Caenorhabditis elegans: one gene and its partners. The protein of the gene in region 2 purifies or fractionates together with the protein of the main gene of each other region. This does not show direct contact. Each region holds a gene or a part of one and is shown on either strand. Other genes may lie near its edges.

The links. Proteins that work in one complex are often made in the same cells at the same time.
Region 1: the proteins of C10C5.4 (region 2) and Y73E7A.8 fractionate together in Caenorhabditis elegans (co-fractionation; one large-scale study listed by BioGRID). This does not show direct contact.
Region 3: the proteins of C10C5.4 (region 2) and pyr-1 fractionate together in Caenorhabditis elegans (co-fractionation; one large-scale study listed by BioGRID). This does not show direct contact.

Annotation. Positions count from the first base shown.
Region 1 is NC_003279.8:1,632,754-1,637,974, reverse strand, and holds the start of Y73E7A.8 (Mucin-5AC), read right to left. Parts: upstream 3,407-5,221; 5' UTR 3,162-3,406; coding exon 3,116-3,161; intron 698-3,115; coding exon 575-697; intron 1-574. Other genes in the region: Y73E7A.1 (Coiled-coil domain-containing protein), read right to left, coding at 4,611-4,754.
Region 2 is NC_003282.8:9,376,166-9,381,246, reverse strand, and holds C10C5.4 (N-acyl-aliphatic-L-amino acid amidohydrolase), read right to left. Parts: upstream 2,696-5,081; 5' UTR 2,586-2,695; coding exon 2,507-2,585; intron 2,368-2,506; coding exon 2,303-2,367; intron 2,252-2,302; coding exon 1,751-2,251; intron 1,688-1,750; coding exon 1,531-1,687; intron 1,483-1,530; coding exon 1,376-1,482; intron 1,328-1,375; coding exon 1,248-1,327; intron 1,201-1,247; coding exon 1,140-1,200; intron 1,086-1,139; coding exon 989-1,085; intron 945-988; coding exon 898-944; 3' UTR 795-897; downstream 1-794. Other genes in the region: C10C5.3 (N-acyl-aliphatic-L-amino acid amidohydrolase), read right to left, coding at 4,825-4,877, 4,927-5,023, 5,071-5,081.
Region 3 is NC_003280.10:8,649,005-8,654,514, reverse strand, and holds the start of pyr-1 (Glutamine-dependent carbamoyl-phosphate synthase), read right to left. Parts: upstream 3,407-5,510; 5' UTR 3,382-3,406; coding exon 3,297-3,381; intron 3,251-3,296; coding exon 2,919-3,250; intron 2,854-2,918; coding exon 2,453-2,853; intron 2,334-2,452; coding exon 2,043-2,333; intron 1,999-2,042; coding exon 1,617-1,998; intron 1,566-1,616; coding exon 1,035-1,565; intron 979-1,034; coding exon 353-978; intron 285-352; coding exon 1-284.

The DNA.
Region 1 (5,221 bases), on a different chromosome or scaffold from region 2:
TGAGTTTCTGTCTTTTGAAGTTATATTGCTTTGGTGTTAGTGGGGGTTATGGTCGGGGTACTGTAGTAGTACTGTAGGGGGTATTGTAGAAACGCGGTAGGATGACTGTAGTTCAGGAAAAATTGACTTTTTGTTTTTTGAAGTAATATTGCTTTGTGGTTAGTGGTGGGATATGGTCTGGGTACTGCAGTAGTACTGTAGGGGTACTGTAGGAATACCGTAGGATTACTTTAAATTTTGAAGAGATATTGGGTTGTTTGTTGGTGGGGGTTAATGTCAAGGTACTGTTGTAGTAATATAGGGGTACTGTAAGTATACATAGGGTTACTGTAGTTTAGGAAAACTTTAGTTTTTTCTTTTTTGGGGTTAGTGACCCATCGTGGCGAGACCCATAAGTTTTGGCGGGACTTCAAATTATTTGAGAACAATTTTTTGGCGGAAAATTCAAATTCTCTGAGAAATTTGTTCGGCAGGAATTGAAATTTTTTGAGTAAAAAAATTTTCTAGAAAGTTCTGGAAAGTTTCCGAAGCTTTGAGGACTAATAATTGTTTTTTATTGAAAGACACAACTTACCCATTTGTGCATTAGCAGGTAATAGAGAAGGTCTTGGAGTTGCAAATCCATTAAACTGATTCAACCTTCCAGTAGGTGCCCAAGACGGTGGAGTTGTCACCTCCAAATCGTGTAGTTGGCATTCTGAAAAATCCCGAAAAAAATTTTTTTTTGAGAATATATTGGTTAGCACATTAAAATTTTTGTAAATCTTGAAAAATGTTAATCGCAATTTTTTTAAACTTTTAAGTTACTTTGCAAATCGGCGAATTGCCGGAATTGAAACTTTCCGGCAAATTGCCGGAATTGAAAATTTCCGGCAAACTGCCCAAATTGAAAACTTCCGGCAAATCGGCAAAATGGCAAATTGTCCGAATTGAAAATTTCTGGCAAATCGGAAAATTTAATGTTCCCACATTTATTTTAATTAAGCAAATTCTATGAAAATATTAAGGAAAACAGGAACAGACTTTCAAAAAAACACAGTTTTAAGTGTTTCCGTCTTATAAAAAAATCGCTCTAAACATTTTCGGCAAATCTGATATCCGGCAAATCGGCAAATCGGCAAATCCCACAAAAAATCAGAAGCAAACTAGAGTCTAGTTAAGACTCAATACAAACTACATACTCCTTGACTAAAAACTACATTCAAAAATTAAGAAAGGAAATTAATAAACTTGTTAAATAATCTCTTAATTTCTACTTCAAATTTTTTTAAAATAAAACCATCGCATAAAGTGAATTGAATTCCGATCTAATTTCACTTCTATCATCATCATCATGAATCAATTGTCCTTAATTTCCCCTCGGTAAATACCGTTTAGCCCTTTTGCGGATATAATGGAAAGTGATATTATCTACTCATCAAGCAATAAAAAAATAATGTAGAGATGGTCGAACATAGATTTGAAGTTTATGGTTTATCGGAAAAACATGCTGGAGTGCATATTTTAATGAAACATTTGTGGTAGATTGTAAAATTGAATAAAATTTTCAATTTTTTTTTTTTAATCCAAATGCATTTTTCCAGCTTTATAGATATAATAAGAGAAGAATTAAAATTGAGGTAGAAAAAGTTTTGAAATTATATATATATAAATATATACGCATATATACATACAAAGGTATGCACAAACGGTTTTTCTTGAATTTTGGACTGTGTTCAATTAACCATAACTCAAAAACTAGAAATTATTTTCGAAAACCGTCAACTAACAAAATGTTGGTCATGATATTTTTCATAATACCAGTAAAGTATTATCACACAAAAACTACACTAAAAAAGTTACGGCGGCAGACATATGGCGGGTCGGTTTTGACCTTAAATTTTAAATCGTCGTAAATTTTCCAAAGTCTATTAAAGTAATGATTACTGAACATTATATTATTTAGTTATAAAGTTCGAAATTCTAATTTTTACACGTTAAAGGAAGTTATTATTAGTTTGAAAATGATCATTTAGAAATTAAAAAAATATTCAAAAATATCCAAAGTTTTTAAATTACCTATTTGCCGATTTGCCGGAAATTTTAAATTCTGGCAATTTGCCGGTTTTCCAATTTTTCGAAAATTTTCAATTCCGGCAATTTACCGTTTTACCGATTTGTTGGAAATTTTCAATTCGGGCAATTTGCCGGAAATTTTCAGTTCTGGCGATTTGCCGTTTTACAGATTTGCCGGAAGTTTTCAATTCTGGTAATTTGCCGGTTTTACGATTTGCCGGAAATTTTCAGTTCCGGCAATTTGCCGGTTTTCCAATTTGCCAGAAATTTTCAATTCCGGCAATTTGCCGGTTTTCCAATTTGCCGGAAATTTTTAAAATACTTGCTATTAGTTATATTATTATTTAAAAAACGCAAAACTATGTACCAGTTTGTAAAAACTTTCTTAATAATTTTTGTATAAGAAACTAGAAATTAACACAACGAAAAAATGCAAAATTATCGAAATTTTGTTATACCTACTATTAGTTATATTATTTAATTTAATTACAACTATGCAAGAGATTTTGAAATAAAAATTTAAAAAGTATTTGTTTATTCATGCATAACTATGTATGATATTCAAAATCGTCAAAAAAACGTTAGCTTATTACGGGAACACAAAATTCTGAGAATGCGTATTGCACAACATATTTGACGCGCAAAATATCTAAACTACAGTAACCCTTTAAATGACTACTGTAGTGTCGATTTACGGAGGTAATTTATTAATCGATGCATTATTGGGAGAAAAAAAATAGGAAGAACATTGAATATCGCTGTCACCATTTTAATAGAAATTTCGAGCCCGTAAATCGACCTACAGTAGTCATTTAAAGGGTTACTGTAGTTTAGATATTTTGCGCGTCAAATATGTTGTGCAATACGCATTCTCAAAAGTTTGTGTTCCCTTAATAAAGGTGTTACATAATAATATTTACTGATAAAGTATGAAATACATTTTAAAATAAAGGTGTTATTATCAATAATTTTAGCCAATAAGAGTTTGAAAATTAGTAAAGAAAATTAGTAAAAAACTTAAAATCTGTTCAAAATTTAAAATTTAAAATTTCCTACTTACCTAAAAAGGGAATAATGAGTAATAGGAGTAAACGGAGCCGTAACATTTTTTTATTTATCGAAAACGAGAAATCAATTAGTTTCTCACGGGCGGCCGAAACTTTCAATTCTTCTCCTTATTTCTTTCGTTTGTTGGGAGGAGAATCAAGAATATCGGTCAGTTATCAGACTGAATCCAGGTCAAAGCTTCGGAAGAAGGTGAAAGGTTTTCGGAAAGCAGCAGCCAGCAGCAGCCATCATATGCAACTGTTTTAATTGATGGAGATAAGGGAAGAGAGAGAGAGGGGATAAGGAAGCGCGGGGAAGTTTTTTTTGTTGTCCGTGGGGTTAGTGTGATCATCACACTTTTACTATCTTACTCGGAAAACAATTCGTAGTTCTGGCCTTTCTCATCGAATTTTTCGCGCTCCATTGACAATCGCCCGCCGGACGGGGAAAGTCGTGTACTCCACACGGACAAATACATTTAGTTTTACAACTAAAATCGAGCCGCGACGCGATACGCAACGCGACACGCAACGCGCCGTAAATCTACCCCAGAAATGGCCGAGCCAAAATGGCCTAGTTCGGCGAACTATTCCATTTCAGTTTATGAGGGAAGCTAGAACCGCGTGAAAATATTTTTGCGCCAAATTTTTTTTTTATTTTAAAATTCGTCTTAAAAATACAAATTTGAATTTTGTGCAAATTCTCTCGGTAGATTTGAAATTAGCGCCAAAATTTTTTGTAAATATTTCAGCGCGAAATTTTTTTTCCAATTTTGTTTTTTTTTCAACGACACTCCGCTATTTTAAAGGCCCGCCCACGATTTCATTTGCACAGAAATGCGTCGGCCGCGAGGCTTAAAACAGCGGAGTGTCGTTGGTTGGGTCGTTGTTTATTTTTGTGCGATCGTGTTTTTTCTATAATATTAGAAAAAATAAACATTCTGAATATTCACGTGGTGTCAGGTTGTCCCATTACGGTTTGATCTACAAAAAATGCGGGAATATATTGCCCAAAAAATGTGACGCCAGAACGTTCTTAACCATACGAAATCAGTTGAGAACTCCCGCTTTTTTTGTAGATCTACGTAGATCAAACCGAAATGAGACACGAAATGAGTTCGTAAGCGTTCACTGTTTCCTGTAAGATCGATTGAAAATTTCCGGTAAATCGACAAACTGCCGGAATTGAAATTTTCCGGCAAATCGGCAATTTGCCGAAAATGAAAATTTCCGGCAAATCGGCAAATCGACAAATTGCCGGAATTGAAAATTTCCGGCAAATCGGCAAACCGGCAATTTGCCGAATTTGTCGACAACTCAATTTGCCGCCCACCCCTGCTCCAGAACTAAAATGCTTGCTAAAAATGCTATATTTCAAACATTCTATATATATTTATTTATGCATTTTCACAACAGGAAAACTACACAGAAACCCATAAAATTCCAAGAAAAAAAATTGACGAGAAACCGAAACCGAGGGGCAAATAGGAAATTATGGTCCATATGTATTTAGGAGTTGAGAGCCAGAAGACGAGCGTTGAGCGGATTTTCCGGCGATTTTTGCCATTCTTTCTTGAGAATTTGCTTCAATTGCGACAGGCGGAACGTTGGATGATTCAGTTTTAGCTCGGGGAGCCGAGCTTCTTCGAAGGCCTGGAAAATGGGGAATTTAAGGGATTTTTGGGGAAATTTACTGAAATTTTATGTTTTTTTTACTCTTAATTTAGAAAAAAATGGAAAAATCGCAGAAAACCGCAGAAAATTCTCGAATTTCGGAATTTTCGATGTTTTTTTTCAAAAATTATTTTAAAATTGAACAAAAATATTTTTTTTAGAAATAGAAAATTGTAATAATAAATTTTAATGAAAAGTCTATTGAGTTTAATTTTCAAAAATTTTGAAAAAAAAATCGCTGAAAATTGCATAGAAAATTATTTTTAATAATTAACATTTAGTAGATCAAAAATCGCGTGAAAATCTAAAATTCTGAAAAAAATTCGAAAAATGTTGTCCCATTACGGTTTGATCTACAAAAAATGCGGGAATTTTTTGCCCAAAAATATGTGACGTCAGCACGTTCTTAACCATGCGAAATCAGTTGAGAACTCTGCGTCTCTTCG
Region 2 (5,081 bases):
TTGATTTTTAAAAAAAGAAGACGGTGAAAAAATGAAACCATAGATCACAATGAACCCGGAACTAACTTTTTATGTTCCTGTTCTTATGGAACACACAAAAGCATTCCAGAAGTGAATAAGTGTTTTATAAAAAACTATAGTTCAACATTTTGATTGTTAGAAAATACTTCTATTCATTTATCCTCCAAAAGAAAAAACCGAACAAAGTCGCAGTTTGAACAAAGTGGAGTTACTACTGCTCTGCCGGTACTCTTGCATAGTTGGAACAAAACTATGGAATCATTCTATGACTGTAAAGTTTAAATTATAATGTCGAAAAAAAACTCCGTCTTGTTCTAGTTGAGAACATTTATTGATTCCGGAATTGCCTGGATTTTGCGAAATGGTGTTATTAAATTGGAAACAAGAATACAAATATTTATAACAATATTGCTGCACTGCAAGTTTTTCGATATTTCAGCAACTACAATATATTTTTGAAAATAAAATAATTTCGACTGAAACTATCGATTTTATTTCTGAACTATCTAAAATATCATAAAAAGGATTATTTTCAATGTGTGATAATTGTTTATTCGTTTGTAAATAACCGTGTTTCCGCATAAACAATTTTCAATTGGTAAGTCGGGAATGCTAGACCATGTTACGCTGTAACACTAATTTTCCATTTTTTTTAAATTTCGAATATACTTTTCATGTCTCATCTATTATTAATTTATAATCCTTGTTATTAGGGAAATCTACTTTGAAGTTGTTTATTTCACTCCAATTTTTTCAATTGTTGGAACTCAAAGAAAAAACCAATGAACTTTTATTAAATTCGAATGGAGGAAAACGTATGTGCAATATATTTACGGAATAGATTTATTATGGATTACTTATTTAATTCCAAATATATCAAACATTTCCCAGATTGTTGATGAGTGTCTCGAAGATTTCAACTCCTGAAAAAGAATATTGTATTTCGATTGAGAAAACAAATTATTACCTCTTAAAAATACTTTTTCATTCAAAAACTCGTTATGGGCATGTGCTCGGACAGGTGTGTTGATCATTGGAGAGAAATTGATAGCAGGAACTCCAGCCTAAAATGTTTCAACATGAGCCGAATTTATATGAAATTTCTCAGGCCAAATCACCTTTCTTACGAATCTGGAATCAGTTGATCCTACACATACTTCAGTGGTGAATTCACAATTCCTGAAATATAAATTTATTAATCAAAATTATTGAATGGGGACACTAACTCTTGTTTCAAACTATCTTCAAATGCAGCCCAAAATGGATCGTCTCGAGTATGTGGAGACACTGGTTTGTAGTCGGAATGCTGAAAATACAGCTATTTTAAAAGCCATTCGTGATCATTAGATCTAACCTGAGAAAATTCATAAGTGACACCTTCTCCTGCATCTTTCACCCATTGATCCAATTTTGCACGAATTTCACCAAAATCTTGATTTGGTGTCAATCTGATATCAACATCTGAAAATTGAGCTCTTACATATATGGTTCACTTTCAGATAAACTTACAAGCTTCAAACTTTTCGGGAATCACATTGAATTGAACTCCACCCTTCAAAATATTCACGTTCAAAGTCGTAACATCTCCAAGAGCCCAGGTAGGATTTTTCTCTAACAATTCTTTTTGCTCGTTTCGGAATGCTCTTGCACTTGCAAGGAAACGTTCCTGGAAAAAAATTGTAAAACATGTAATGTAAATTTTTTGACAGAAAAGATTAATTTAACTTACAATCTTCTCCATTGCGGTGTTTTCCATAAACTGAGATCCATGACCTGGATTTCCGGGAGCTGTTACTTTAAGCCACCAGGTTACTCTTTCAGCATAAAAAGTCAAATATACGCCATTTTCAGATGCATGACCTTCATCAAGTGAAAACCCAATGTTAAGCTTCTTGAACTCATTCGTCTCCACAAATCCCTTCATTCCATTTATATGCCCTGTTTCCTCATCTGGACCCCACACCACATGAATTGTCCTTTTCCATTGTTTTGCCCCTTTTGCAAATAAATTCCTGAATGCCTCAACGTGTTGTACACCAAGACATTTTGTATCTTGTGCTCCGCGAGCAAAAATGTTTCCATCTTCATCTTTGAATGCAGAATATGGATCATGAGTCCAATGCTCACGGAATGTTGGAACTACATCAGTATGAGAATATAACATAATTGAAGGTAATTCTGGTTGAGATCCTGGGATCGTCATTATTACGAAATAAACTCCTGGAGCTGTCTGGAAATTTGAAAGTTTTCTCATTATTTAATAAAATTTAACATTGAATACCTCAACAGCTTTCCTTTCAATTCCAACTTCATCCGCATATTTGAACAAAAAGTCACGACAGGCCACTGAAATTTATGAATCAAGGAAACTACATGTACATTCTCTATGTATCACCACTTTCTAACCTAACTTTCATGTCAATTAAATATTGGTATGGTATAAAAATCTAGCTCCCAATCTTTCTCAATTTAAAGGTTTACCTACCGTAATCTGGATTCGGCTGTTCTGTATTAACCCGAAGGTATTCTCGGAATCGAGTGACTGCAATGTGCTCCTCGCTCATTTTTCAATAGCTTCTCGTTTTGGAAAAGTGCACAAGAAAATGATAAACACAAATGAATTGAATTTTCCGAGCGCTCCTCCTTTTATACAAATTTGATCGAAAAAAGAGTTGGCAACCGTTTTTTTATAATTATATCTTATCAATTCAATGTGACAGAAGGTGGACAATAAAAAGAAAGAACACAATACCTGGTTTCTAAGTACAACATAGTCCAGTCATCAGTTTGACATGAGAACCAATACAGTAGAAAAAGTTTTGAAAAGAATTGTGGTACCAGGAAGTGATTGATTGGAAGTACAAGCTGATAAGAAACTACAAGAATTCCAAATTGTCTGACCGGAAAGTTTAGGGGTCTATATATCATTAGATATCTTAACGTTCTCAATTAAAAACACATATCAAAAAATTCGTTCCTGCGAACTATTAATCAATTTATAATGCTCTTCATCGTGATTAAATGAAAATCAAGTCACGTTTAATCAGAAGATCAAACAATCATATGGTTCTAAAAACGTTCTAGACAGTTGGTCGTTTGTCTCATCTCGATATCAAATATGATCAGCTACGATAATACATCCGAATGTATGAAACTTCGAAAATTAACTGTTTTTACTGATTTCTTTACTGATAATTGAAGATAAAGTTTTTCAGAGATTTAGTAATTTTGAACAATTTAAAAATGTTTTCAAAATTTTTTATAATGGGACCTTAATAGACTTGCCCATCATTTAAGGGCCGCACAAAGGTGCACAAAGTGTTACTTTTAAGCTTATACTATCTTATTTTCTCGTTAATATAATTTCACTAAAAGCTTGAAAGCTCTGACGATGTTGTTTGTTCAAAATTTTGCCCAGATTTATATAAGAATGTTTACATCAGCTACTAACGTTTTTTAATTGAATAATTTGCACTGATTGCTTCAAGTTGACACCAGACTGTCATCGTCTTGGTTTTATCAAATTTGCACCATGTAGTTTAATTATGTTTAAAAAATGCATATTGCCTGGTTTCTTGTTTCTCTTTTTTTTGGCCTTTTAAAAAGTTCAATTTGTTCAATGTTTCGTCTCATTTACTGTTTCTCACGAATTGATTCCCTGGTCACCGTTTTGATCAAACCTGACATAAATGTGTTCTGTTCAACGAACCATTTGTGTGTCTCTTATCATCTGATTCTTTTGTCAACTGCGATTTCCCATAAAATATATGAAAAATGATGATTTGAAGATGACAAGATCCAATAATTTTCTCAATTACGATCATTCAATGTCTAGACTAAAAAACACTTATGGTAAACATTCTCATCTTCAAGTGTTTTAAGGAAAAATACACATTTTTCCATTGGGTTGTTTTTTTCTAGATCTCATAGAAAAAGATGATAAAAGCTGATTCTGGAACAAATTGATACAGGACAAATTAATTTGAAAATTGTTTACTTCAATTTCGATACCAACGAATATTCTATCGTAACAAATCACCAGAAGAATTACTGATCGTAACTGACTAATACAAGCACCAACGAAAGATCCAAAAACTATAAATATATTTAATTTTTGAAAAAGTATAAAACCTTTCAATTTTATAGAGCTCATTATGATTTCTCTATGCCGGAAACTAGAGCCCCAGAATCTAACTCAACTACTTATTATTTTGTTTGTCTCAATTTATTTTTCAACTATGAACGATCTGGAAGGACTTCTTTACCAACATGTAATATTCTGAAATAATACTCATAGTTTTGTCAATATAAAATCAGGAGCTGTTTGTTATCTTTATCGTTTTTTTTCATACATTTTTCAATGTACTTTTATCAAATCTATTTTTCTAGCTTCTAAAAAAAGTGTGTTCCAAGTATTGTCAAAGTCACGTCTATGATCGGTCATGATAGTTGACCTTGATCTCAAAACTTTTTTTTTTTTTCTTTGTATCTCTTTTTTCTTGTCTGCTTCCGTTCCCAGACGAATGATAAGATTATAAGATTTACTTACCAAAACCAAAAAAAGAGTCTCATAGATAAGATATATTTTATTTTTAAAAATTGATCCAGTGAGAGAATTCACACGGGTTTTCCGACTTCCACGGATGCGATTTTTGAGACGATCAAATTTTCTGAAACTTATTGGATGCGGGAAATTCTTTAGTTTCTACCAAAAGAAGTGACATTTCAGCTTTAACTTTTTCACACATTTATTCATACAAGCTTAAAAAAAAGAAAATGCGAGTATTGTGATGAAGAAGACGCTCATTCGTTGACATTGGCCACGTTGTTGATCAGCGTTTGGTAGATTTCAATACCTGGAAGCATCATAGTCAATATGAAAAATTAGATCCATCTAGTTATTACCTCTCAGAAAAACCTTTTCATTTAAAAATTCGTTATGTGCATGTGCTAGAAGAGGAGTGTTTATCAATGGAGAAAAATTGATTGCTCGAACTCCAGCCTGAATTTCAGTTACAATGAAATGGAAACTATGTTATTTTTTAATACCTCTCTAACGA
Region 3 (5,510 bases), on a different chromosome or scaffold from region 2:
GATTGCAATTGACGGTGATTGTAGAGTATCCCAAAGCCTTCAACTCTCTGATGCATCCAACGCAAGAAGAATCAAATTCAACTGAAGAACCGATTCGGTATACTCCTGATCCGAGAACCATCACAGCGTTCTTCATATTGAATGAAACATCATTCTCTATTCCATTGAATGTTGTGTAGAGGTAGTTTGTCTGAGCAGGCCATTCTCCAGCAACTGTGTCAATTTGCTTCACGCAAGGAGTGATTCCTTTGACGAAACGAGCTTCGCGAACTGTGTATTCGTTGCTGAAATTTTAATTTACTGTTTAGATATCGAGCTAAAAATCAAAGCAGAGAAGGGTAAGAGTATTTACCTTCCGATTTTCTTTGCTATTTGTCTGTCGGAGAATCCTGCTTGTTTCGCCTCCAGGAGCAGTTCAGCAGATACTGTATTGACGTCAGTCTTTTCGAGGCGATGGTAAATATCAACGATGTTCTGCATTCTGAACAAGAACCAACGATCAATACGTGTCAGCTCGTGAGCTTTTTCAACATCAAAGTCTCCATAATACATTCCACGTGCCAATGCAAACATTCTCTTATCTGTAGGCTTTGAAAGATCATCAGCTGTTGTAGGACGACTGAATGTGTATGGAGAGAAACCGTCAGCATGATCGGACACCATTCTCAACGCCTTCTGAAGAGCCTCTTCAAAGCATCTCCCGATTCCCATGACTTCTCCAACTGATTTCATAGAGCTTCCAATTTGTGTGCTGACACGAGCGAATTTTCCAAGATCCCAACGAGGAATCTTCACAACACAATAGTCCAAACTTGGCTCAAAGCATGCAGTTGTGGTTCCAGTGACACTATTTCGGATGACTGGCAGATGTTGTCCCAATGCCAACTTTGCAGCAACATATGCCAATGGGTATCCGGTGGCTTTTGAGGCAAGAGCAGAAGAACGAGAAAGTCGTGCATTGACTTCGATAATGTAATACTGAAAATAATACAAATTTAATACAATTCTCTAACTCAAAGCTTTTGCAAACTTACAGTCAAGGAATACGGATCCAGAGCGTATTGAATATTACACTCTCCAATAATTCCCAAGTGCCGAATAACTTTGATTGCACATGTTCTAAGAGCATTGTATTCTCTGTCAGAAAGAGTTTGAGATGGTGCAACAACAACACTTTCACCAGTATGAATTCCAAGTGGATCCACATTTTCCATGTTGCAAACGGTAATACAATTATCGTAAGCGTCCCGAACAACTTCATATTCCACTTCCTTCCATCCTTTCAAACTCTTATCAACAAGAACCTGATTTGAGTGTGCTAAAGCTTGTTGAGCAATTGCAATGAGCTCTTCCCGGTTGTCAGCGAATCCTGATCCAAGTCCACCAAGAGCATATGCGGCTCTGACAAGAACTGGATAACCCAACTCTTCAGCTGCTTCAATGGCACCTTCCATGGTCGTCGCTGCTTTACTTGGTGCAACCTTTTCTCCAATAGCCGAAATTTCTTGATTGAACAAATCGCGATCTTCTGTTTTCATAATTGTGTTGATTTGAGTTCCAAGAACCTGAAAAATATATAACTTTTAGTTTCCTTAATCAAGTAGTTTCGTATTTACCTGCACATCGTATTGCTCAAAAATTCCATCTTTATACAAGTCGATGGCGCAGTTGAGAGCAGTTTGACCTCCAAAGGTACACAAGATTCCAGTTGGTCGCTCCTTCTTGATCACATCGGTAACGTATTCTTTAGTGATTGGAAGGAAGTAAGTGAAATCAGCAAAGCCTTTGGAGGTTTGAACTGTAGCAATGTTTGGGTTGATGAGAACTGTTCGAATTCCTTCTTCTCTCAATGCCTTCAGAGCTTGAGCCCCAGAATAATCAAACTCTCCAGCTTGACCAATAGTGAGACCGCCTGATCCGAGAACGAGAACTTTTCTCTGTTCTTTGGCATGATAGATGGGAGTGAAAGTCATAAGACGAGTGAGCTCTTGATCGACACTGAAAATAAACTTTTAATAAAGTTAACATATTTTTAAACTAACTTCATGAATGTGCCACTCTTTGCTTGTCTCACAGAATCAGCAAAAACATCGAACAAAAACTCGCAATCAGTTGGCCCGGCAGTGTGTTCTGGATGGAATTGAACACTGAAAAATGGTTTAGACGAGTGCACAATTCCTTCGTTGGTCTTGTCATTCTCATTCGTGAAAAGTGCCTTCCAATCAGCTGGAAGTGAATCTGGATCAACTGCGTATCCATGATTTTGAGAAGTGATGTAGCAACGGCCAGTAGCATAATGAGTGCATGGCTGATTGTGACCACGGTTACCGTATCTGAAAAAAATGTTGTAATTAAAAAGAAAAAATTAATCTTCAAACTAATTGATGCATGTGTTTTTAGTGGTTTTTGTTATGATAATTGAAATATCTTCAAATCAATTGGTAAAACTTACTTCAATTTGTAGGTTTTCGCTCCGATAGCTCTAGACAAAATTTGGTGTCCGAGACAAATTCCAAAAATTGGTTTGTCTCCTCTTGCAATAACTTTGGCTAATCGATCGACCAGTGGTGCACAAATTTCTGGATCTCCTGGTCCGTTGGAAAGGAAAAGTCCATCATAATCACTTTCAGTATCAATTGGATGATTCCAAGGAACCACTTTGACACGAAATCCTCGTTTTGCGAGACATCTAATTTGATTATTCTTGAGACCACAATCAACTGCGAGAATGGTTTGATCACCGGATCCATAGACAACTGGCTCTTTTCTCGACACGAAGTCAACCAAATTTTCAGCATTGACGTCAACGTAGTCGAAGTTTTGTGCATTGTCTGATTCGATCACAAGCTTCGCCTGAAAACATGATGTTGGAAAAATATTTTTAAAAAATGCTTTAACCCAACTACAGTATCACTAACCTTCATTGTTCCAGTCTCTCTGATTTTCTTCACCAATTGGCGAACATCAATTCCGGAAAGACATGGAACATCAGCTTTTCTGAGCCATTCTGATAACGACTGAACTGCTTGCCAATGACTGTGTTCTCCATCGACACAAATTTTCTCAACAATGAGAGCTGCTGGCCAGATCCTGTCAGACTCAAATTCAGCTGGTAGCTTGAACTGATCCAGAATCTCTGCAGATGGAACTCCGTAATTTCCAATAAGTGGATATGTAAGTGTGAGAAGCTGCTTGGCGTATGATGGATCGGTAAGAGATTCCACATAACCAACCATTCCGGTTTGAAAAACTGAAAATTCAAATAAAATTTTAATAAAAACTTGATGAAAACTTACCAATTTCTCCAACTACACTTTTGGTTGCTCCATAAATGGAGCCCACAAAAGTGGACCCGTCCTCGAGATGCAAAGTCGCTCTCATACTTTCCCAATGCATTCGAACCAAACTGGAAGAACATTTCTTTAGTCGAGTTTAAAAATCGAAAGGTTTTATGGAAACTAAAAAAAAAAGAGAAAAGTAGTGAAAATCGGAGTCTACAGTTCAACCATATTGCCCTTTTGTACAGATACATACAACTAGTTGATAAGAAATATTATTGTCTAGCTTGTATAGGAAAACCAGTGGATAAGATAGTAAGTATTTTCATGTCAAAACGAGCAAACGCGCAGTTATATGCGCAGAGAAGCAGAGAATTCGAGAAATACCAGAGAGAAATGGACAAAGAGAAAAACATGTGATGGAGGAGAGTAAGGGTGTTTACTAACAAGACACTATTTTTGAATTTGGTGTTCCTGCCCACTGAGATAGAAACGAGATAAACATTGTGGATGTGTGTTTTTGCAGAATGACCTAGAACGTTCTTTGAAAGACCGCAGAACGCTGGAATGTAGGGTTTATCGATTTGAGGAAGCTCCGCCCCCAAGACCATCGTCGATGAGCACATGTATTGATTTGAATTAAAATAGAGTTTTGGAACATGTCAGCCACCTATGACAGTATTATTTGAAAGAGCAACTTAACAATGGATAAGAGTGACCACGGTTGCAAAATGCCGAACTAAACGATCAAGTTTTTTGACGAAAAGCGACGAAAAAAAGATGATAAGAGAGGTGGGAGGGATGGAGTGACCGATAGTAGAGGGACGACTGGGCGCCAGAGTGCAAAGGGAAAATGATTGAAAAAAAGACAAAGAACACATGTCACCCTAGGAGTGAGCATTTGTACTTTTAGTTTGTTTATGGGAGAAGCTTATTTTTTTATGAAAAAAATGGAATGTAAATTTCTTTTTACAACAGAGGTAGGGGATAGTAAAATCTCGCTTTTGGTCAAGTTTTCAATCAAATTCGATTAACCAGAGTGTGAAGCCAGGGGCCTCTTGTTCTCCCTTTATACTGTTAATAGAGGGCGGGCTAAACGCTCACGAGTGAAATGAAATGAATGCAATATTATAAAAGCTTTTAGTGACAAAAAGAAAGAAGCGGTCAGCTCAAAGAAACCCCAAACAAATTGAAAATAAAAGAGCGTACATAGAACTCTAAAATGTCACACACATAATATTTATCGATTTGAAGTAGATCCACCCTAGAAGATCACAAAATACTTCCTCGCTGTTTGAGACTCGAAAATTAAGAGTGGTTACATGAGTGTTAGTGTGAGACGACTGTAGAAAATACGCTTGTAAATTTTCCGCAATTTTGGCCAAAGGTCAAACTGGGAGAGCTTTTCTGAACACCTGTTGTTTTGCAACATGATGGAACAAATGAGAATGTTCTTTAAAAGAGATTCAAGACAATTGGAACACGACGAAGTTACGAAAAAACATACCCATATTTCTTGGTTACGTGGCTACACCTACACCTAAAATTACACCTACAGGTGTCATTTGAAACGGTCCAAATGGAGAAATAATGTTGTTTTTATGCGAGAAATAAATATGAAAAATTGGCTTCTCCCATATCGTGGCTTTTTCGTTTTTGCGTCAATTTTTTTGAACTTCATTTAATTATTTTCGTTCTTTTCTTTGAATTTTATCAATATAACATAGTACATCAAAACAGGAGAGAAATACCACAAGTGATAGACCAGATGAAAGGAGTGACCGATACCGGAGTGTAAAGGGCAAATGATTGAAAAAAGACAGAGAACACATTTTGCTCTGGGAATTTGCAATTGGTCAACTGTAAATGTTTGCTTACTTTTATCACTAGTAATAGTACCACTATCAAACTCTGATAAATTTAAAAAGGAAACTTGGACGTTGAGTCTGTATATTGAACAATTGAGAGCCAAACGAGCAAAAAGTGGAAAGAAAAATATTATTGAGTGAACTAAAAACTATCTCGAAAAATAACGTTATGCATTTCATTTTCTTCTAATACGACTTCGAAGAGAGCGCATTTATAAATAACTAGTGGGCGCGCATCGAGATAATACCCAAAGTTTTTGTGAAAAACTCGAGTAGATCACGCGAAGATCACATACTGTTTCCCTCGCTTTTTATAATTCTCTTAATTTTTCACATATTAAACAGTGATCTACATCCATTTTTT